Arabidopsis thaliana: one gene and its partner. The protein of the gene in region 1 interacts with the protein of each later gene in a pairwise test. Each region holds a gene or a part of one and is shown on either strand. Other genes may lie near its edges.

Region 1 (9,784 bases):
TGTTATGCATTTAAAATCCTCTACAAATCAATTCTTTGCAAATTGTTTTCCAAATTCGCGGTAGGTAAAAATGACAGCTAATCATATTTGTGGCCCTATACAAGTATAGTAATTTATCTCGGTACGACCTGAATATATGGAAATCCAAAATTTTATAATTTGGAAAACCAAAAATTTCGTAATTTGGGGTATTTTGATCTTATCGATATTCGAGATCTTATCTCTAGTATTTCTTTAGATATGCAACATTGGAATTTGCCTTAATTTGTCCATAGGTTGAGAATAAATTCACTCACACTTTTAATTTTTTGAATGTCACAAACTTATATACAATCTAGTAGTCGAGGACCATTTAAAAACATTTTTGGAATGTTAACAACTTATATTATCTCTATCCTTTTTCTCCAATGGCAGCATAGGAACGACTTTGAGTTCTTGCCGAGTCTGTTATGGGAATCTAAAAATACTGTGTACATCATGTTGCAGGTTAAGTACCCACTACTTTGGTTATTTCTTTTGGCTTTTTAAAACTGATTGTTTCTAAATCTTGCCATCTTTTTTCTGTATAAACTTCTCTATATTTGTGACACTCACTTTAAATTTAATTCAATCTATGCAGGAGGTTTTTGAAGCCTACAGACACCTCGCAGGACACATCTCACTTCGATTGTTCCCTCATCCGTTGAATCCACTTCGAGTGTACAATGTTTTTCTTTTGTTCCAGGTTTTGTTTTGGTCTCACACCTTTCTTTTTTTCTTAAGTTTAAAAACCATTTCTTTCATAAATGCTTAAGCCTAAACTTGCTCTGTGATGTTATCATCGTTTTTCCTGTTACAGAGCATGGCTTGTCACCCAGACACAAGCCGTCAGTTTCTTAGGGGTATTTCTTTCTCCTCTTGTGCAACAAACCATATGATGTTGCATTGTCTTTGAAATTTTTCTGCTTATGTTGGTTGATTTGTTGCAGCTAAGATGCCAAATTATTTCTATCCTCTGATGGACACTGGTCTCATTGATAAAAGTGACGAATGCATGAGGCTTGCTGCGTTGGGTGTCATTGCTCATATGTTGAAGGCGGTACCACATACATATTCTCTTACAATATAATCTGTTTGTGACAAATGCTATTGAAAACCCCACTAAATTACTTTGAACATCTCACTTCTCTATAGTCTGAAGATGGAGCTGTTAATCGTTACCTAATGGAAAGTGGTGTTGTTGGTTTCTGCGTTAAACCCATTGAGTTTGGCTCTACAGAAACAAAAAAAGTAAGTTTCTTTCGCACGCTACTTCTACTCATTTTGACTATAAATCAAAGAAGAATAAAGAAAGCATTTTGAAACTTAATACTTGTTGTTCAGGTTGCTTTATACATACTCGACAAGATTATGTCGACGGATCAGGGGCTTTATTACTGCTGCGTCTTGGCTGATCGGTTTTACGTTATCGATGAGCTCCTTAAGAAGGTGCTCTTCTATCTTTCTAACATGGTCAGACCTCCTTCATCCTTGTTCAGCCTTGTTACTGGTTGCTACGTCAAGCTCTCCCAGAACTCCAGGTTTTCTTGCTAAACCTCGTGATAATATTTTGATATTGATACAAATGATTAGGTTTTGTAAAAGCAAACAACAGTTTGAGTTTTTGGTATATGCATTAGGGCTCGTAACGGAATAAGGCGATACACGCCTTTCTTGCTGTTTGACGGCACCTTTTCCAGATTATATGCTGTAAGATTTCAATCTCTTGTGTTTTTTGGAATTTGTATGGTTTTGGTTCATGCAGGGAATAGTAAAGCTTATGTGTGTCTTGTCTGTTTTTTTTGTAGGAGGATCCAGTGGCTGCTAACAATCGAATTCAGCTGCTTCAGAATCTGGACAACTAAAGCAATGAAGTACTCGAGACACTGTTTTCAATGAGGCAATGAAAACAGAACAGCCCCCACAGAGTACGGGTTTAGTACGCCTACGCGTAAACGCTAAGTAATAATTTACTAAAGACATAAAAACTCTATGAAAAGTCTTATGTTGTTGTTTGGTTTAATATCTTTTGGATGACTCTCGTTACTCTTTCAACATTGTTTTCTCTCTTTTGGAATACATTTCAATGCACTTTGCCATTTTCTATCTATCTTTTTCAACTGGTTGATAGCAATCGGATTTAGCTAATTTGCTTAACTATTTGCAACTTGATGATCTTGATTGATATAAAAAATAAGTTAGGGTAATGTTATTTAGATGTAAAGCTTCTGGAAGTTGTGGTTTTGAGTTCCTCTGAGTTAGTTTAAGCAACTAGGACTTTTAGAAAAGAGACCTGAAGGTGAGAGACATTTCATTGCATGGCCAGGGCCCAGAGGAATATTGATTATTAAGGGGTCTTTTGAGTTAGCCAAACTTGCGAAATCATTCCACATCCATAGAAGTCTAGTATGGGGGGTTTTGTTTGCCATAGTTGCCCCATTCCTATTATGAGTCAGTACCATTGCCAAGCAAAATCAGCTAGAAACCAATCCCCAACTTTGGATAGAATAAACATTTTAAAGAATTTGTCACATTGAATTATGGATAGTATTTACTACTGACTGTGAATGTTACCCGCCACATGCCTCTGGAGATTAGTCGGAATTTGGCTCCGGAATCTTTTGGAGTAAAATAGTCAAAACATGACGGAGTAAAAAACTAAAAAAAGCATATTAACTCAATTTACATTTTCTTAATTCTTATGGGTTACTTTACCCAAAATTGAACCACCGTCAAAATTTGAGTGCAACAGTAAAAATCAGAGTCTCGAATCCATTGGGTTCTCCAATTTTCGCCATTGCAAACAGCTAAAATTCCACCAAATCCCAGCTCGAATTTGGAACCCAGATCGCCGAATCTCGTATGGTGGCGTTAAAAGTCCGGCGGGCACCTCACGTAGGCCTCAGCCGTTTCCGCCTCTTCGCAGACTCTTCTGACCTTCCCCAAAGGTAAAATCACAATGGCCCTTGATTGGTTTTTGCCTCATCGGCTCTAAAGTTTACTGCTTTCCCCTGAGAAAATGAGTAAAATTACTACTTTTTCATATTTGGTATTGTTAGCAATTTGAAAGTAGGAATGATTAGTAGTTGGTTTAGTTTCTGGTGATTGAGCTGCTTTAGCTTGATTAGGGAATGAGTTTGAATCTCTCTGCATAAACAAGAATTTTGCATTGTTTTTGACTGTTGTAGTATCTCCGGTTATTTGGCTTGATAAGTAGGCAATGATCAGTTTTTGATATCTATAGTTTTGAAGATCTTAGAGATGTTAAAGTTTTGGAGGCTACTGTTCCTTGTTTAAACAAATTTGAGTCTGAGGTCTCTGACTTGTGGTGTGGTTGAGCATCCTGTTTTACTTCATGTGGCTGTCGTGGTGACACCGAATGGCGGTGTATGCTTATATCCTTAATCTGGTTTATAGGATTCACTCTAATGACTTCATGGAGGTTGATAATGTTGTTTAGGATGACTTGTGATCATTGCTTATTTACTATTTTTGCATAATTGTTTATTTACTACTAAGGTCATCCCCATCTCTTCTTCTTCCTCTTCTTTATTGGTTGGTTATGTTTTTATAATATAGTTTTCCTTCACTTTTAATATTGTAGGTTCAGTGAACCTTTTGTTCTGTGTCTGGCCAGATCCAATTCTATCTCCTCCCACTGTCCTTGGAAATCCCAATGCCACCACCACCAAGTAGACCTTTTTCTATATAAATTCTTCTTTTTATTCTTTAATAAGTAACCCCCTTCAATTTAGGCTTTGTTTCTAAGGCATTTTCTTTCCTGTAATCTGGGTTTTTGTGGGTCCAACACACTCTCTCTCTCTTGATTTTAACAACTTGGCAACTTCATTCAATTTCAAGTTCCAAAACAAGAGAGAGAGAGAGAGAGAGAGAGAGAGAGAGAGAGAGAGAGAGAGAGAGAGAGAGAGAGAGAGAGAGAGAGAGAGAGATAAAGAATATTTTATTGTGTCCATGAGTTGGTTAGGTGATCCTCCAATTCCAATTGGCTATCCATCTATCCTCTTCTTTTATTTATACTCTCAGAAACAAGAAATCAAAAAGGCAGCACAATAATACTGTCTAAATGCTTCTCTACTTTCTCATCACTTGTCTCTCTTTCTTTTTCTTTACCAAATCTCTTTCTCTTCCTCCATGGGCATCTGAAACCAAAACCTTGCTCTCCTTCTACTTCATCAAGAATCCCTTTATGAACACCCTACATCAGACCAAACACGATCCAGCCTCTCCGGTGATCGACCAAATGTCGGTTCTTGACCTCCCTGAGCTGGCTCTTGACTGCATTCTTGACCTTCTTCCACCCTCTGGACTCTGCAGCATGGCTAGGGTTTGTAGCTCCTTGAGGGAGAGATGTGTTAGTGATCATCTATGGGAGAAACATTTGAAGACCAAATGGGGCAAAATCCTTGGCCCTGCTGCTCACAGAGAGTGGCAATGCTATATCTCCTCTTCCACATATCATCTTGATTCTCCTCATCATCAAACTGGGAATCTTGGTTTTGCCAAAATCATCTCTCTGATCCGATCTCTTTCATCCGTTTTCCGAGAGGATAAACAAAGGAGGGGATATGCATCTTCTCTGCCACTTGATTCCAGCATGAGCTGCTACCTCTCCCTTGAAACAGGTCGTTTTTGGTTCCCAGCTCAAGTTTACAACCGTGAGGTAATCATTTCATAAACATAGTTGCTCCATTTTTGCTTTATGGATTTGATTAAAGTACTAAGAGGCTTTTTTTTGGTGAAAGAGCAGAATGGACATGTAGGGTTCATGTTGTCATGCTATGATGCGGAGCTCAGCTATGATACTCACACGGATACGTTCCAAGCCAGGTATAAAATATCTAATGTCCACATTTGACGCTAACAAATTTTCTTATTTCTCATCATAAGTTTACGTTTATTGGGGAGTTTAGGTATCCACCACATGGTAGACGAGCATCTGCGATTGAAAAGGGTGTGACATGGGATAGAATAAGAGCAGCTCCCATTGATGCATCACCTCATCTTCTCCATGTATCAGATTCTTTAAAAGAGTTGAAACCTGGAGATCACATCGAAATCCAGTGGAGAAGGAACAAAGAGTTCCCATATGGTAAATAATAATAATATGATGCTTTTGGTTTGAACTTGCAATCTGATTCTGAAAAAAGCTTGTGTGATGTTGTTGTGTAGGATGGTGGTATGGTCTTGTTCGCCACTTGGAATCCTGTGATGGAGATCATAACCATTGCCATTGCCATCTTAGTGGTGAGTTCTCATCTTCATCTTCATCTTCTGTGGTTAAAAAATGGAGTCTTGGTTGGTTGTTTTAAAATTGGCTGTCATATTCTATGCATTACTCATTGTCTCAGCTCATAAAGTCCATTAAATTCCCAAAACATAGTTGAAAAGGGTGAACATTGAAGAGAGCCAATTCAAGCAATGCCTTTTCTTGTTAAGATTGGTCCCAAAACGACAAATGATGATGATAATGTGATGATATGTCTTGATTTTCCTTGACATTTTGATAAATGTGTGTCTTCAGTTGATGTTGAAACCTCCACTTATGTCCTCATCGTTGGAATTTGCATTACTAATGGGTGTGGGGCTCAACAATGATTCTGTCTCTTTATCACTCCAAAAAAATCTCTTATTTTTATCATTTTGCTGGCACATTGCATGACCACATAAAAGTAGAAATCACATCGAAATAGATAATTTTTGGGATTTCTCTCTGCCCACTTGCATCTTGATTTAACCTTTGTCTACTGATAATGTGTTAAACGAGTTTTTGCATTCACATGTTGTACTAAATTGTCAAGTGTTGATGAATGGTAAAAACAGAGACGGTAGTGTTGGAATTCAACCAGTACACAGTCGGATCAAGGTGGAGAAGAACGATGATCATGAGAGATCATAAAGAGGAAGGTAACGAAGAAGACGGGTTCTATGGAGGAATCCGAAAGCTAAATTGTAAAGAAGAGATTGCAATGTGGAAACGTCACTGGCCTTGCTCCATCTTGGAATAGCATTAAAGAAGCTTTGCTTAAACACATGGGGAAAGATATTACACATCACTATACTGAGAGTAGGTTGTTAAATTTAGACGTCTATTCTCTTTTATCCAATGTATGGTTGATCGTGAATTATTTGTTGGGAATAAAGTCTATACGTGAAATTATTGTGTCACTTCGATTTGAGAAATATTGTGTTGTATAGGGAAAACTTAATACAATTGATTTGAATACTCAAAGAGCATTTTGGTTTTGATCTTGTTGCCGCTTGCTATGTCAAGCTCTCCCAGAGTTTCAGGTTTTCTGCTACACCTTCTGATCTCCTCTGAATTTTTTTACATGCCCTATTTAGAAATACACCTTTGTCACAATCAGTATCCAAAGACAAAGTTTCATACTGCCCATTGTCTGTTCCTCATTCCTATCTTGAGTCTTTTTTTCTTCTGCACCTCATCAGTATCATTGCCAAACAAATCATCTGTGGAGACAGAAACATTGAAACCACCTGTTGGGTTTGCATCAAATGAACATGTCGCTGCTCCTGGGAAGGATTGTATTTGAAAGTCAGAATCCTAATCAGAAGAAGAGACAAAAAAAGAAGCTTACCATTGCAGCATTAGTTGCTCCACTCTCAATAAACCCAAACTAAAGATTCTCATCTTCTTGAGAAGAAAGATTCCTGTAGTCATATTTTCCTTGCAACAAAGTAGCAATTCCATCGCCTAACGTTATCTAATAAGTAGCACTTTTGTAACGCTATAAGGAGGATCCTCCTTAGACACATCCTCAATAGTCAATACATAAAGTCATAGATATGTCTCTACACAGCTTCGGGATTCAACGTAGTTAGAAAATTAGTATCTGTAAGTCAAAAACATCACCGAGTAAAAAGAGTCCACCCATTAACTCAAGTCTCAACTTACACTTTGTTTTATTGGTCCCATACCTAAGTATAGAAAACCATTCAGTTGAATCTCCACCGACACCATAATCTGAGTGCAAGAGTCCATACTCTCCATCAGAGAGACTCAAATCCAATTCTCCTTACTGCAACAGCTCAAATTTGGAATCTTTTGTAAAAACCCAGATCAGCGGATCTCGAATGGCGAAGCACACGGCAGCGTTGAAGGTGGGACTAGCTTTACTGGCCCTCAGCATGATTGGCTACATACTTGGTCCACCGCTCTACTGGCACCTCACGGAAGCCTTAGCCGTTTCAGCCACTTCTTGCTCTGCTTGCGTCTGTGATTGCTCTTCGTTGCCTCTTCTCACCATCCCAACTGGTAATCACTATTTCCCTTTATTGGATCTTGCTTGATCGGCTCTAAAGTTTATTCATTTTCCCTGAGACAACGAGAGCAAATTTAGTACCTTTTTCATATTTGGTATTGTTTAGTAGTAGTTGGTGATTGAGTTGCCAGATTGCATGCTTTAGCTTGATGAGGGATTTTGAGTTTGAATCTCTATGCAGATAGATAGACAAGAATTGTGTAGATCTACAAGAATTGTTTTGTTTCTCTGATTATTTGGTTTGATAAGTATATCTGAAGCTATAGTTTTTGGTCATGGAGATTTGAAGTTTGCAGGCTGCTGTTCTTGTTTAAACACCAAGTTTGAGTCTTTGAGATCTGACTTGTGTTGTGATTTAGCTTCTGGTTTACTTGTTCTGGTCATTGTGACTTCTAATAGCAGTGTATGTGGTTTACTCTGTGTTTATCTTTATCTTTATCCATGTATGTGATTCACTCTTAATGAATTCATGGAGGTTGATATGGTTGTCCACAATGCCTTGTGATCATTGCTTCTTTACTATCTACAAACTTCTTTATCTACTATATGTGTATTTTTCGGATGATACCAAAAATAAAAAGCCTAACTCTTTTTACTTGTTTTCATATTGCTGCAGGACTCAGCAATGGTTCATTCACTGGTGAGTTTCTCTGTCAATTGGATTCATCAGTTAAAGAGTTCCCGGAAGAAAACTCTTGACTATGTTTTTAGTAAATGAGTCTTTTAAGAACATCTTGTCTTTTGATGCGCAGATTGTGCAAAGCGTGATCCAGAGGTGAACGAAGACACAGAGAAGAACTACGCTGAACTTTTAACAGAGGAACTGAAGCAGCGTGAAGCAGCATCGATGGAGAAACACAAACGAGTAGACACGGGTCTGCTAGAGGCCAAGAAGATAACATCATCTTACCAAAAGGAGGCAGATAAGTGTAACTCGGGTATGGAGACTTGTGAAGAAGCAAGAGAGAAGGCGGAGAAAGCACTTGTGGAGCAGAAGAAGCTGACTTCTATGTGGGAACAGAGAGCTCGTCAGAAAGGATACAAAGATGGAGCCACCAAGTCAACTGTTAAATCCAAAAGCGGCACTGAGGTTGCTTAAGGACACACCAAAGGTTTTGATTTCTTATCACACGAAAGAAAAGTTTCAGTGTATCTGTGAATTTGATTCATACTATTGTATTTAAGTTTTCTGATGGAGATAAATCAATCAGATGGAATGAAAACATGTAACCAAAACAACAAAGGATTAGTGGATTTTGAACAAAGTTACAACACAATCAAGTCATTACATTGAACTACAACATACTTATTAGGCATAGTGATGAGCACAAAGGCACTCTCTAAACACTCGGCTTCTCCTTTTGGTCTATCTTCACTTTTCTTTCAGGCAAGGTGTATTGTTAGATCATCCAAGTTTTGAGAACCAATGAGGCTGAGATTGTGCTCGTTCGCCAAATGCAGCAAGCAGATGAAACATAGATGTGGTGAGATGTCTTGGGTTCTCTCGGCTGCTTGGCAATCATCTGGGAAGCTAGCCAATAGCACTTTGAAAGATCTACTTTCAGGTGGTTCTTGTTGATGTTCCTCATCCTGCACAATCAGATTCTGTTAATATCATCACAGTAATGGGCAGAAAAGAAGGAAAAGCCATCCTTGGGTTAGTTTCGGCATGGAACCATAAGAAAAAGGTGCACTGCACTAAACAGGAATGTATGTGTGTGGAATTCTAGATTGTATGTTGACAAAACTTGGCTGATGTGAAGTACACGAATGAGTCATGTAAATCATAAGAGAGATAATCAGAGTATATTGGTTAACCTGAATTGGAGGTTGATGAGATTCCTGAAGACACTCCCAAAGAGTTTCCTTTAGCACTTGCACATCAACTTGTTTTGAAGCTTTATCGTATTGGACATCAATTTTGTTGACCTAAAGCATGAGTTGTGTAGGATAATTACAACAATGTTTCATTCCTAAGATAGATAGCTACAGCCTTTTAAAATGATTTGTAATGCTGTAACCATATGCAGATCAATCTATCATACCTGGCGTGGCTGAGAGATTAATGTGTTGGTATCCTCTGCATCACTTTGATCATTTTCATTATCATCGAATGGGCCATCATCATCATCATAAACATTATCATTTCCCCAGGATTCCCCATGTTCATAATCATCAGGCTGCTGTCTTGAAGTTTCACCTGGAATATGCACATAACAAAACAAGTGTAACATAAATATTTTTTTTTCAGAAACCCAATACAGATTTAGTGGTAAATTGTTGAAACCATTTCCTTTGTTACGGAAATTTAATATCAGTAAAGAAAACAAAGACACTGTTATACGCCTCATAAACCGCCACGGATACCAACAAGTGATGATTTTCTTAATGACTGGAAGTGTTACCTGAGTTTTTTCTTCTCCTCCTCCCAAGGCACTGTTATCATTCAGGAGAGTAAATTCAGA
Region 2 (12,910 bases), on another chromosome or scaffold:
AGATTTTGTGTTGCAAATATTATGTAGCTTGAGTCATTTATGATGGTTCAGTAGATATGGAAGAAGAATTTATATCATTCTCCTATCCAATGGATATACAAAAGATAAGTTTTACAAAAGCAACTTGAAATACTAGAAGAGCTTAAGAACACGGCTACGTCTAGCAAGGCAAATAGAACATAAGAAGATATTACTTATCCATCCTATGCAAATTCAAATGTAGAGAGTAGTAATGAATTTAGAGTGCAGCACGATATAGCGGAGAAGACGATGGGCTAATACTACATTTGGTAAAACGGATTGATAGTATTGTTTCACCACTTTGATCCCTTTCTCTCCATGGTCACCTCTTGTTTCAATCATCTTTCTTTTTTTGCTTTTGTTCTTAGTTTTATCCACTCCAAAACAGCTCTGTGAGGATACATTTTCATAGACGGCAGCGCGTAAATTAGAGATGACAAACCTTGTCAAGTGTTTCTGGTATGTTTATTTTTTACCTAAAAGAGTCACTTATACAATTTGATGTGCAAGTTTTGATGATTGCTGCCACAAGCACAACTAAACTTGCATAATTGATAATTCCCCAATATTCTGCGTTTCTCTTAACCATAAACTATTGCTATATATATAACAAAGAAAGATAAAGAAAGAAAATCAGATGAAGTGGACGTTGCACTTTGCTGAAACTCTGGGAAGAGTCAGCACATTAGCTCGCAAGAACTCACTGTTGTTGTTGTTTTCTGCGTGAACACCAACTTTCACGGTTTCAAGACATTCCAACTTGCCCAAGAAATGTCTCATCTGTTTCAGCTCTTGAAAATAACCTCCATACTCTGAAATCTGTAGCACCTTCACTTGACATGTCCGCAGACAACATAATGCCTCTTCTTTCTGTACAATCTTCCTCTGCTTCTTAGGTATGCAAGCGCATGCATCTCCACATCTACTAGTTACTCTGTGGACAAGACCCTGAAACCAGAGACCAATTTGACATGAATAAATTAATGGGGCAACACTAACAACAGAAAAGAATCTCAGCAAGGTTTATATCATACCTTGATGACTAAGGTGTGTAGATTTGGACAACTCTTGAGGAGAAGTGGCATTACTTGCCAACCTTTATCCTTGTTACTCTCAATAGATAAATTAAGGAGGTTGTTGAACACGGGCATGGATTTACAGCAGAAATGAAACACCTAAGTTATAAACGAACACAACCAAAAACCATAAATAAGTAAGAGACCTTGCTAGCTCCGGTAACAAACACTAAGACGAAGCAAAAACTAACCTCAAGGGAATCAGGAGACAAGTGAAGGGTCGTAATGTTGCGTATAGCCGCAAGTAGTTCTGTAACATCACCAAATATAGGCGCCTTTGGTTCTACAATATAATAATCACCATCATCATCATCATCATCATCATCATCATCATCATCATCATCATCATCATCATCATCATCATCATCATCATCATCATCATCATCATCATCATCATCATCATCATCATCATCATCATCATCATCAGAATAATCATAATCGTTAGTTGACACCCATAACCTGAGACTCAGCCTGGCTTCGACAAGCAAATCGAAATCAACAACATCATACTTAGCCGAGACATAACTGGAATAGTCAAGGTAGACAAGACTTGGTGCTTCAAAATAAATCAGTTCGTGCCAAATCATTTCATTTGGATTATGGGTAAAAATCACAAGTCGCTTGAGGGATGCACTTTCCACGTTGGTACCACAAGTAAGCCGCAAGAACGGATAATCACCATCACGCATGTATAATTCTTCCAACACAGGGCAGCCATCGATGAGCCGTATATAGTTGGTATAATCACCCAGAATTGAGAAGAGAGAAAGTGATTTGAGGGCAGGGAAAAACACACGCTCTACTTCAACAAAACATCGAGCGGATAGTGTGAGCTTAACCAGTGTGTTGCTCGTTAACAGCTTAGTTTCTATGGCAACAAAAGACATGGGGGTGGCGTGCAAGTGTATTTCCAATAAACCGCGTTCCATTACAGTCCGAATCCAACGCCGGACCATACCGTCTACATCATCGTTATACTTATATACACGAGACAGAGAGAACTTCTTGATGTGAGAATTGCTTAACAGAGCAAATGTCTTGTCTACGAAATCACAGAAGCGAAGTGAACCACTTGTTTCTTCTTCTTCGTTGGGATAAACAACCATCGACTCATCAAAGCAGAGGTTGTCTACAAGACCCAACAGATTCCTCCACCTCTTGGACAGAACCGATGTGGAAGCAGCCACTTTTGTCGGGAGCAAAGACAAGATTTTGCCAAGAATCTCATCTGGCAAATTGCTTATCGAATCTCTAGGAGAAGTTCTCATCATAGCCATAAATTAGGGTTTTAACTACAGGAAGAGAAAGTTTTTGGAACTTACGATGGCAGAGAGACGAGGAAGTGTTCCAAAAGCTTGACGATGAAAATCTGAGAGAAAGAGAATTAGGTTTTGGAGGGTTTCTAATTAAAAGATACATTTTGGGTATTTAACAGTTTCGACTTTTGTGGATTTTATATGTTGGGCTAGTTGGTTCAGTTAGGTGGGTTTAATAAACTTAAAAAGCTTCTTTTTCGATCTCATTATAGTTTTTGCGTCTTCTTTTTTAACCGTTTAGAGATTTTGGTTGCAGATATTATGTAGCTTGAGTCATCTATGATGGTCCTTCAAAAATTCAAATCATAGTATTATGTTGCAGGGTTCAGGCGAGGTTCGTGAAATATTTGACTTTTAAGACAAAGACAGTAATCTTTCGGTATGTTATTCCTGGTATAGAAAGAGTGTTAAAAACACAAAAGACATCAAACAAGATGATCCTACTTAGACAGTAATCTTTCGGTATGTTATTCCCCCACTTTCTCACAACAACAATGTCTCCATTGTGGTCAGATGAGTGGTGAATCATAGGGTTTTAGTCTGTAGTCTTATTGAACCTTTTCTTATATATTCGGTGTACATAATATATTATCGAACATTTTTACCGGAATTTGCTTGTTCGACTTAGTTTGCACCTAAAATCACAAGGTTATTTTGATGTTAAATGTTGCTTGTCTAACAAGGCAAATAGAACATAGGCAGACATTATTATCCATCGTAAGAAATACAATGTAAAGAGTAGTAACTAATTTAGAGTGCAGCATGATAGAGGGGAGAAGATAATGGCGTAATGCTACATTTGGTAAAGGGATTGATGGTATTGAGTCTCTTGAACCACTTGGATCTCATTTTCTCTCCAGTTTCACTTCTTGTTTCACTCATCTTTCTCTTCTTGCTCTTTTTCTTACTATTTTCCAATCCAAAGCAGCTCTGCGAGGATTCATTTTCGTAGACAGGCTCTCTCGATGACTGCAGCTCGTAGATTTGGTTCTGGAGATGACACATCTTGTGAAAATGTTCATCCCTCATCTTAAGAACGCACCTAGCAAGCTTAACTGCTTCGTTTTTCATGAACAGCGCTTCACTGGCGAGCTCTCGGTTCTCTTCCAAGAGGGAAGTAAGTTTGTGTCCGAGATTTGCGGTTTCTTCTACAGCTACTTCCTTCTCCATATCAAGCAACATCACAAGCTTCTTTAGCAAGCCAATTGTCTTGCAAGCTTCTTGCAACGTTTGTTCTCTGCGTTGTAATATGTGCTTCGCGGTATCTTTCTCCAAGTTTGCAGTAACGAGCTGCGAGACTAAGTCTTCAATGTTCTTTTGCATATCACAAGTGGAGACTTCCATCTGTTGAAAGGACAAGATGCTCTCTACTTCAGAAGTGATGTCAGTATCGGTATCATTGTCATGAGGAATGACTTGTTTAGGGTTTTGATTGAAACGGTCCAAGAGAGTGGCGTAACCATCGTAGAGATCTTGACAGAGTGAGAGAAGGAGAGGGCTTCTCTGGTAAAACCATTCAGCACGTTGAGAAAATGTTTCACCGGTTTGGTTATCATCAAGAGCAGAGACCCGCATTACTTGCATCCGAGACTCAAGATCTGTGTCCATATTCACCAACATATCAAACAAAGTAAGCACAAAAACAATATACAAAGTTTGAATTTTTAAGTGTACCGGAGAGAGATGGCAACTGTGGAAGAGGAGACTGAGAGGCATCCATGGATTCTGTCGATTGCTTTGCTGGTTAAGAGATGGAAGAGAAACTGCCAAACAAGGGAAGCTCAATGAAAATTCAAAAACCCCATTTTCAAATTATAGGGAAAAAGAAAGGCAAACGCATGAAATCAGTGAGAGAGATTGATATATGGCAATTAATGGGCTTTGAAGAATTTACCATAAATGCTGCAAATATCCGACAGGGTGAGAGAAACTAGAAAGCATAAAAGAGGCAGTAAAATCAGCCTAATTTAAAATTTGTAAATGTTCCACTTTAGGCATTTTCCACGCAAACCTCTAAATCAAAACCACATGTTTACTTGTGTGATAACGTCAGGATTTTAGTCCTGACTACATATAAAGAATTGTAGTCAGGATTTTAGTCCTGGATCTCAACGCTTATACCTACAATGTAGTAGTGTGGTCGACAATACAAACAACCTAAACATCTCTAAACACAAAATCTCTTGAATAAAGATTTAAGACGAGTTAAAGAAAGGATCAAAGTCTGTTTTGAATAATAAATTTTAGTAGTTGTCAAACAAGAGTCATAAAGCATCTCATACTCATAGAGAAAGAGTGATGAAATATCCAAACACACGATAAGTCTTAGAAAGCATACATGATATTCTTCATTAATTTAGGTCATAAAGATAGATAGAGGGTGAATCAACTCAGCAGTAGAACATGACACGCTTCACATTCTCTTTCAGAGCTGGGAGTGGCCTCACTGCAGCATTGACATTAGGCCCGCGTGTGCTTCTACCAGCCATTCCACCTCCACGTGCCATGCTCCCACTAGCCATTGAGCCACTGTCTGATGTCTCTGGCTCCATGTAGAATCGAGCCCTAAAAGCTGCTAGATGTGCATAATATGCAGGGGGAACTACAATATCCCAAAACAAAAAAAAAAAACATTGAATACTAAATCTCTCTCTTCTTTATATCAAAATCAAGATGACATTAAGGGATGGGAAACACAAAACTTACCAATTGAAACTGAGCGTGTGCATCTTGCATACCTGTACAAATCAAAAAGGTAGTTTAAATGTTACTCTTATTTTCCTTGCAATCTTGCAAACACTTGTAACAAGGAATATGTTACAAAGGTAAGAAATCTTACGTGTAACATAAGTTATTGGTCAGAGATTGAAGTCCATCTGCAGTAAAGTTGTTCTCATCCCAAAGAACGTGGTAATGAGCAGGTCGAGAAGTGCCCTGTTAATGGAGTTTTGATTTGTTAAACACTTCAAATAAATTCTCACCCACAAACTCATTTGAGATTGTAAATTATACCTGAATACCAGCATGACTACAGAGGTAAAAGTCAAACTCTGTAGGGTGGCAGATTTTAGAGTCCACAACAGTGCCTACAATTAACAAAGGGGTTAAAAACCAATGCAAGGGATTTTCAGCTGATTAGGTCTACGCACAAAAAGCTTGACAAAGATCCAAACTTGTCTCACCAGGTAAAATATTCCCACTTCTGTCCACCGAATGGCGATCATTGTGGTTCTGAGCAAACAGCCTCGTGTGATGACGCTTCTGCACCACCACAAATGTCACTGGTGGTTGATAACCTGCTTCCAGCGAAGCACAGGCCTGAAATGAGTTGAAATAATAATCAGATTAAACAGAAGAAAACGAGCACGCAACACAAGCCATTTGTTAGAAGTAACTGTTACCTTGCGGATGGCATCAAGTTCATAGAGCAAAACTTGGTAAAATTGTCCCTCACTGACTCCATCCCTGTGCAGAATAACCATATAATACATTTCAGAAAGAAAGACAGAAAGTTATTTAGTCAAGTAAGTGCCATAAGAAGAGTTAATACCTGTAGAAGATGATCCTTAGTGGTTTATGCCCAGTTGATCTACGGAAGGCTATGAGCAACTCCCTGTTCAAAAGTAAGGGGAGAAACGTACAGATCTGTTACTTAAGAGCAAGCTAAAGCTAAAACCCAATCACGAAAATATTAAATAACATCCACACGTACTTTATCATGCCACCAGTCACCACACCTTTCTGAGGATCCTTCCACTCTTTGAACAGATCCTGAATGAGCTCCTGCCTATGCGCTTGAGCGCAAACTAATCCAGCATATTTAGTGATTTCAGGCCAATCCTGAGATGCCACAACCTGAAAACAAAAATTTCGTTGTCAACAAAACAAGCACAATTTGAAAAGGTTAAGGCCATGAAAATAAACAAAAGCATCCATATACAGAAGTAGATCTTAAAGGAGAAGCTAACTTACAGCAGCAATAGATGGGCTTGAATCCTCTCCAGGGTGAGGGTGGGTAACATCAGCACCAAATATAATGGTGGGTCGATCACTGACTAGAGGAATCCGCCTAGATAGAGCATCAACAAGCACTGTGTTTCTTCCTCCAACCTTCACATTAATCTTCAGCGCAACATTAGCCATGTATTGTTTGCTCATCTTAAAGACATGCTTTGTCAGGCAACATTGAGAGACTATGCCGAGTTCAGTCTCACATATGCGTTTCAAATCACCTGCAATGGATATTATTAAGGAAAATAAGTTGAGAGTGTGTTCCTAAGCAGAAGTAGACAATGAAACATCCGAGACCATGGCTCATACCGTATAATGATCCATTATTATCGGGCAGAATGACAATAAGCAGATCAATTTCTTTTCCTTGGGAGAGTTTTGATGTGGCATCATGATATCTAGTCTTCAAGACCTTCTCTACTTGCTCAGGGCGAGCACTGACTGGTGGGAGGACTGGTTCCGGATTAAATGCCTGCAGGTAAGAAATAAAAAATTAAAGGGAAGGAATCAGTGTAGGAAAGGTTAATAAACTGATCAAGTTTGTGCTTCCAAAGACTCACCATGCCAGATACGTAACACATTTGAGCAAGTTCCTGACAAAATGTACGCGCTAGATTGTCCTGCACTTGCCTAGAAAAGTTGATGCAGATCCAATTATTCACCGTTCCACCATTGATCATTTTCTGCAGAGAAGACTCATATTAGCCAGACAACAGAAAACGTTGTGATCACTTTCAAAAAATAACAAAGACAAATTCAGTGTGTATCTACATAGCTACATGAACAAAATACTCTCTGCAACTAGTCAAGTGCCACACCCATACTCATATCAAGAGAATAGCATTTTAGAGTAATATGTCTCATAACAGACAAATAAATAAACAATTTTCTTGCCAATTACCTGGAAATATACAGCTCAGCCATGATTTACAAAATATTCACATAAAAATGACAGCATAGGTATATATAGGTAACACAAGCAAGAAACATGTAAGTGCATAGTTGAAAACCAGGAACATTTTCGTCTAGTTACCTTATTCATCATGTTCCATTGACCAACTTGTGGCAGACAAGTCCCTTCCCTTCCAGACTCGTGGTACTTAAGCTGCAGAACATTAAAATCAGATTGGAACCCTAATTTGAGTCATTAAGATACAGAGAAAAAGTGTAATAGCAAAGAGACAATGGGAACGATTACTATACCCATGGAGGAGGCAGTATACGAGCCTCAACAGAAGCCAGAGAAGTACTTATTTTGATGCCAAACTCTTGAGCATAATTATCTTTAGCATAATCATTGAGTTGCACCGTCTAGAAATCAGAAAATATTGTATAATGTTAGCAATAAACAATTGAGTTTTCAACAACAGCAGCCAGAAGACACACGCGCTGCTAAATTAAGAGCACAACTCTGAAGATGGTAATCTGCCTCACTATTTATGAAGTAAAGGCATCATCTCAAGGTAAATCACTCTCTTCAAGCAAACATATGCATCCAAGTAAAGAAGAAACAGGTTTTTAAGCCATTCATTCCATAACATCCTTTCAGCCACAAGTTTATATGATTAAAAACAAGTTAGATATGAATTGAGAAAATCACTTACTTCAAGTAAACACATGCAACCAAGTAAGAATAAACAGATTTTACAATGATCTATTCCACAATGAGGCTTTATCACCAGCATACATTATTTAAAACGACTATCAAGATAGGCGGACAAAAAGATACTCTTGATTCAAGTGAAGGAAAACAAAGTTATCGAAAATAAAGAAACATACCTGTAAGATATCTTTTTCTCGATCTATCGGGCGCTGACAGGTAACCTTCAGCAAAGCAGTGATCTGTCTCTCATTCAATCTTTTGGAATACCGCTGGCCTTCAACAATCTTGCATACCTGTGCAGCAACACATTAGAATCGGAAGTACTGGTGAGCTAATAAAACCTGATGACGTATTTCAAAGTTACCTCCATTGGTAAGTAATTAGGCCTATTAGAATTCCCAACTTGCAAGCATGGTAGTTGAGTGTGCTGAATGCGAAAACCATATGTTTCGTGGAAGTATTCTACAACAGATTTCTGAGTATTTCTTTCATCTACTGGGAATCTGAAAAGGATAAAAACAGAGAGTAAAAATTAATTTCATCAAGTTCAACATTCGCGAAATAAGAGTAGTAAATCTAAAACAAATACGCACGTCAATTCCCGAGTGGCCACAGCAGTCAAACCGGAAATGCGGTACTTCCGGCGCATGTTTCCTCGATGAGTCACTTCAACTTTGACACCTCTAAGAGCCTTTTTTATCTGTTGACAGAAGAAGATTCCAAGTCACTAAGCAAAGAAGAGTAGATTAATACAACATTTCACTTACTACAGAAAATGACAATTGATTCATACCTTAACACGATCAGCATCAGATAAAGGTCGAGAAGAAATATCCCGGTTAAGCAAATCACAGACAAACTGAATCACAGGGTTTGCCTCTATGAAGGCTGTCGATGACATATCTACAAAACAGACAAAATTGCAGCACAACCATGAGTTAAACATTCAAGGAGAACCAGATATCAAAAATTATTGAATGTAATACAGCAAGCCATCACACCAATATTGAGTGATAAGCCCATCTGTGTAGGACGAATGCTTTGGTAGAATCCACGCCAGCTCTCCAAGCCATCCCCCAATGATTGTTTTTTTCCTATATCAGGGGAATAAAAGGACCGGCCCACCGGAATATACCTGATTCTAACATGTTAGCAAAACTAAACCAGCTGAGACTTACAAGCATGGTAGTAAAGAAGCAAACATCCATAGGATGAGTAACCAGTACCTAGAGGTCGGCAGCTCACGAAGAACAATGTCAAGAACCTGCAGAGCTTCCTGTGGGGCATCTGATTGTTTCCCCTCCAAAAACATTCCTAGGTGATGCAGATCAGCACGTGCAACTAGCTTGATCACAACTTTAAATTCCCTTTCTCGTCTGTAAAATAGGAAAGATGTTATTATTCTGAAACTTCCTTATTAAAAAAATCAACAAGAAACCATAAGAACTAGACCTTTGACCTCCAGCCCCTACTTCTTCGTCAAGAAGATTGATTCTGAACTCCTTGGAGTTAAAGGGAAGTGGACCAGCAGTGTAAAGACTTTTTCGACCATCATACGCTGGAAGACGACTTCCAAGGTGAGAATCACGATAATTATCAACAAGTTGTTTCATCACAGCACGATTGACACCCCTTGATGTAACTTCCGGAGTAATGGTAACCTAACAGAAAGAACACAGTTGGTCAGGTAAATTTATAAATAGACATTAGATGTATGGTAGCTAATACTAAGGGAACACAAAACTCACATCATAATGGTGCAAATCCTTATCAGGCAGTTCAGCAAAGAAATGGTTAGCCTTCACAATGCAACGCTTTCCACTCTGTCCTTTACCAGGCCTCATTGGAAACTTGAAAGCCTTGCTAGAAGAAGGTATAGGCTGGATTGCCTGACTGGGAGCTCCTTGTTCAACAGAGAGTTGTTCAAATTGCTGAGCCAGAACAGTAGGTTCTGGTACCTGGGTAGGACTCACCTCAGACAGTGTAGGCTGAGAAGACACCGCTTGATAAGTAGGTGAGGTAGCTTGATGCAGCTCGGGAACTGATTGTCTCTGCGGTGGTCCAGAAGAAGGTCCACCTCCACGGCCACCGCCATACCCTCCTCGACCTCCTTGATGAGGAGGTCCTCCTCTTCCTCTTCCTTGGTACTCTTGTGGTCCTCCATACTGTTGTTGCTGTTGTGGTGGTTGCCCATATCCACGACCACCACGACCTCCCTGTTGAGGTTGAGGAGTATAACCCCTTCCACCTTGGTGTTGTCCTCCTCCCTGCTGGAAACCACCTCGCTGTGAACCACGTCCACCACCTGAGACTGGACCAGCTTCACGAGACCCAGAGCCTTCACCTCCTTCAGATGGAGCATCCGTTCTTCTCTTTCTCACCATGATGATTCCTGTGAAAATAACACAACCACCCAAAAACAGTGGGTCATTTTAAAATTATCCTTGAAAATAAGAAGCAAACATTGAAAACAAGCACAAAACTATCGAAATATAGAAGCAACAGAAGAAAACCCTAACTAGCTTCAAAAACAAACGACTCAGAAGCACGAAAACCAGTGATTAGCTAGAGAGATAGAAAACCAAATTCAACAGCCCAAAGCAAACATAGAAAACCTAGTAAGAAACAATCAAAGACCTAAACAGAAAACGAAGTAAGAAAACAAGCACGAAACAGTAAGAAATTTGAAGCAACAAAAAAAAAAAACCTAAATATCTTCGAAGACGAACACACACACCAAAACAGCTACGAAGCTAATAGATCCGAAATCGCAAAGATCAACTAAACATACAACACTATCAGTGAACCATAACACCAAAACGAAGCGGATCCACCCAATCGAGTGGAAAAATCGAGTTCATACGCAGATCGAACACAGATTAAGTGAAGAACAAACACCAAAACCGCCGCCATTTTTACCTGAAAAGCAATCTCTCGCCGGAGAAACTAAGATTGACCGAGAAAATCCGTACGAAACACCAACCCTACGTCGCTCTCGCCTCTCTGTGTTCTCTCTATATCTTTCTCTCTCTCTCTAACTCCGAACAAACGAGATAACTCAAAGAAATGAGATTTTACTGCTACACTTTAAATTCAAGGGTTCTGTGGTTAGAGTAAGTTACGGAATTACCCTCTTCATTAATAGCTGGCATATGTCGACGTGGCGAGTCAGGGTTGGGTCTTTGGAATGCTGACCCAAGGTCGTGTGTAGTCTTTCATTGTTTGTAATGCGCTGATGACGTGGAATTGCATAATGTTTTTTTAATCCGGAAAAAGAAGCTTCTCGAAAACAACAAGACGAAAAACATTTTTGTCGTTTATCTACCAAATCTTTTTTAATTTATTTTACTAACAGTATATGTATTATCCGATTAAATATGATTAGTGTGATGCGTTACCTCGATTAATCTTCAAGAGTTAGTTGCATTAATTTAAATATTTGTTTTAGACTATAATATACCTCGATTAATCTTGTAAAGTTAGTTGCATTAATTTACTATTTCAACGAGAGATAATGCATGCACAAGTGTTCAAAATTAGTAGACCGGCCGTTATTAATCTTATTATTAATCTGTAGTAACTGATTAGATCATAATTTTTGGCTTACGTTACGTATAAAGGATGTTATACAGTTAAGTACAACAGTTTAAAATTGGTACTTGTGTGTGAAGATAAAACAGTGGCTAGAGAAAATGTCGTGAGTCAAGGCGACTGATCGAGTAGTACTAACGAATTGTACATTGTCAAGGAGGATTTTTCATGCAACGAAAGGCAAAATCATGCGAATTACGTTTAGTTTTATAGACTATATATAAGATAAAGTGAATGATTATAGTATAGAGGTGAATAGAAGAACTATTTATTAACTGAGATGGGTCATGGGTGGTGGGGCAAATATGAATATAGCCATTTACTATATAGATAACTCTCTTTCGTTTTCATAGAAATATGACCTGCGATTTCGGGGAAGTGATGCTTTTTTACAGGTTTGCCAATTTTCTAACTTTAGGAATGTGGTGGCTGTCATCACGTGGTATGATTTGTTTGTTTAATTCAATTTACTTTATTTGATGGTTAGCTCTTTAATTTAGTTTCACTAGTTGATTTGCTTCTGTACCTCAAAAAAATTCATATACTCGTAACAAATCTGTATTATATATAATTGTCAAAGATGATTTATACATATATAACAAAATTGGTTGCTCGTGCGTGAAGAAGAAATATGAGCTAGAGAATATGTCACGAGTAATTACATGCTGACGAAAGGCTAAATCTTGGGGAAAACGTTTAGATTTCTTTTTGTGATAACTGTAAGTCTATCTCAAAATGATTCGTTTGCTTTGGGAAATAATGATTCTTTTCATTATAAACATTAATTATAATAATCAAACGAGAAATTAAAAGGCGAAAGATTATAATAATCAAGCGAGATGTATAGAAGAACTTATATATGATTTCTCATAACGGAAGAAGAACTTAGAACTCGTCAAGTACTACTACCTCGAGAGTCGAGATGAAGATTAACGGCATATAAGCATTGATATCAATCAAGATTGGTGTACGTAATTACGGGCACCAACGCACATGCATGCATGGCGAGTCTAGCTAGAACCGATCGAAAACGTTGGTTTACGATGGAGGTTTGTGTTCCTTATAAGAACTACGTACAGTTTGGCTCATGTTTGAGTCGATTGGTGCGGTCTTGACGAGAAACGACTCTCACGGCTCGGTTCTCTTCTATAATCAATAGATGTTTTTGTACAAGTTTACGTTTCCGTGTTAATTAGGTGAAAGAATATCTAGACACTTTACCTAACAAAAGATTGTCTAGATCATATAGTAAGGTGAAAAAACATAAAGTTGTAGACAAAATATTAGATGTT

Evidence for each region.
Region 2: the proteins of AT2G32560 (region 1) and AGO1 interact in a two-hybrid assay, tested with the Arabidopsis thaliana proteins (one study listed by BioGRID).

What each region holds. Positions count from the first base shown.
Region 1 is NC_003071.7:13,820,718-13,830,501, forward strand, and holds AT2G32560 (F-box family protein), read left to right. Parts: upstream 1-3,945; 5' UTR 3,946-4,102; coding exon 4,103-4,699; intron 4,700-4,786; coding exon 4,787-4,866; intron 4,867-4,949; coding exon 4,950-5,128; intron 5,129-5,208; coding exon 5,209-5,283; coding exon of another isoform or gene 5,284-5,348; exon of another isoform or gene 5,349-5,859; coding exon 5,860-6,044; 3' UTR 6,045-6,543; downstream 6,544-9,784. Other genes in the region: AT2G32550 (Cell differentiation, Rcd1-like protein), read left to right, coding at 415-486, 620-724, 839-881, 969-1,078, 1,174-1,269, 1,363-1,559, 1,659-1,728, 1,827-1,883; AT2G32580 (transmembrane protein, putative (DUF1068)), read left to right, coding at 7,132-7,312, 7,936-7,959, 8,072-8,418; EMB2795 (condensin complex subunit), read right to left, coding at 8,703-8,909, 9,138-9,248, 9,365-9,519, 9,725-9,755.
Region 2 is NC_003070.9:17,881,482-17,894,391, forward strand, and holds AGO1 (Stabilizer of iron transporter SufD / Polynucleotidyl transferase), read right to left. Parts: upstream 11,116-12,910; 5' UTR 10,947-11,115; intron 10,420-10,946; 5' UTR 10,412-10,419; coding exon 9,776-10,411; intron 9,689-9,775; coding exon 9,480-9,688; intron 9,404-9,479; coding exon 9,254-9,403; intron 9,169-9,253; coding exon 9,029-9,168; intron 8,931-9,028; coding exon 8,821-8,930; intron 8,728-8,820; coding exon 8,621-8,727; intron 8,531-8,620; coding exon 8,392-8,530; intron 8,321-8,391; coding exon 8,204-8,320; intron 7,736-8,203; coding exon 7,628-7,735; intron 7,530-7,627; coding exon 7,458-7,529; intron 7,108-7,457; coding exon 6,985-7,107; intron 6,897-6,984; coding exon 6,734-6,896; intron 6,646-6,733; coding exon 6,386-6,645; intron 6,269-6,385; coding exon 6,126-6,268; intron 6,027-6,125; coding exon 5,964-6,026; intron 5,879-5,963; coding exon 5,815-5,878; intron 5,732-5,814; coding exon 5,596-5,731; intron 5,500-5,595; coding exon 5,426-5,499; intron 5,348-5,425; and 10 more. Other genes in the region: AT1G48400 (F-box/RNI-like/FBD-like domains-containing protein), read right to left, coding at 655-969, 1,056-1,196, 1,289-2,374; AT1G48405 (Kinase interacting (KIP1-like) family protein), read right to left, coding at 3,164-4,011, 4,088-4,133.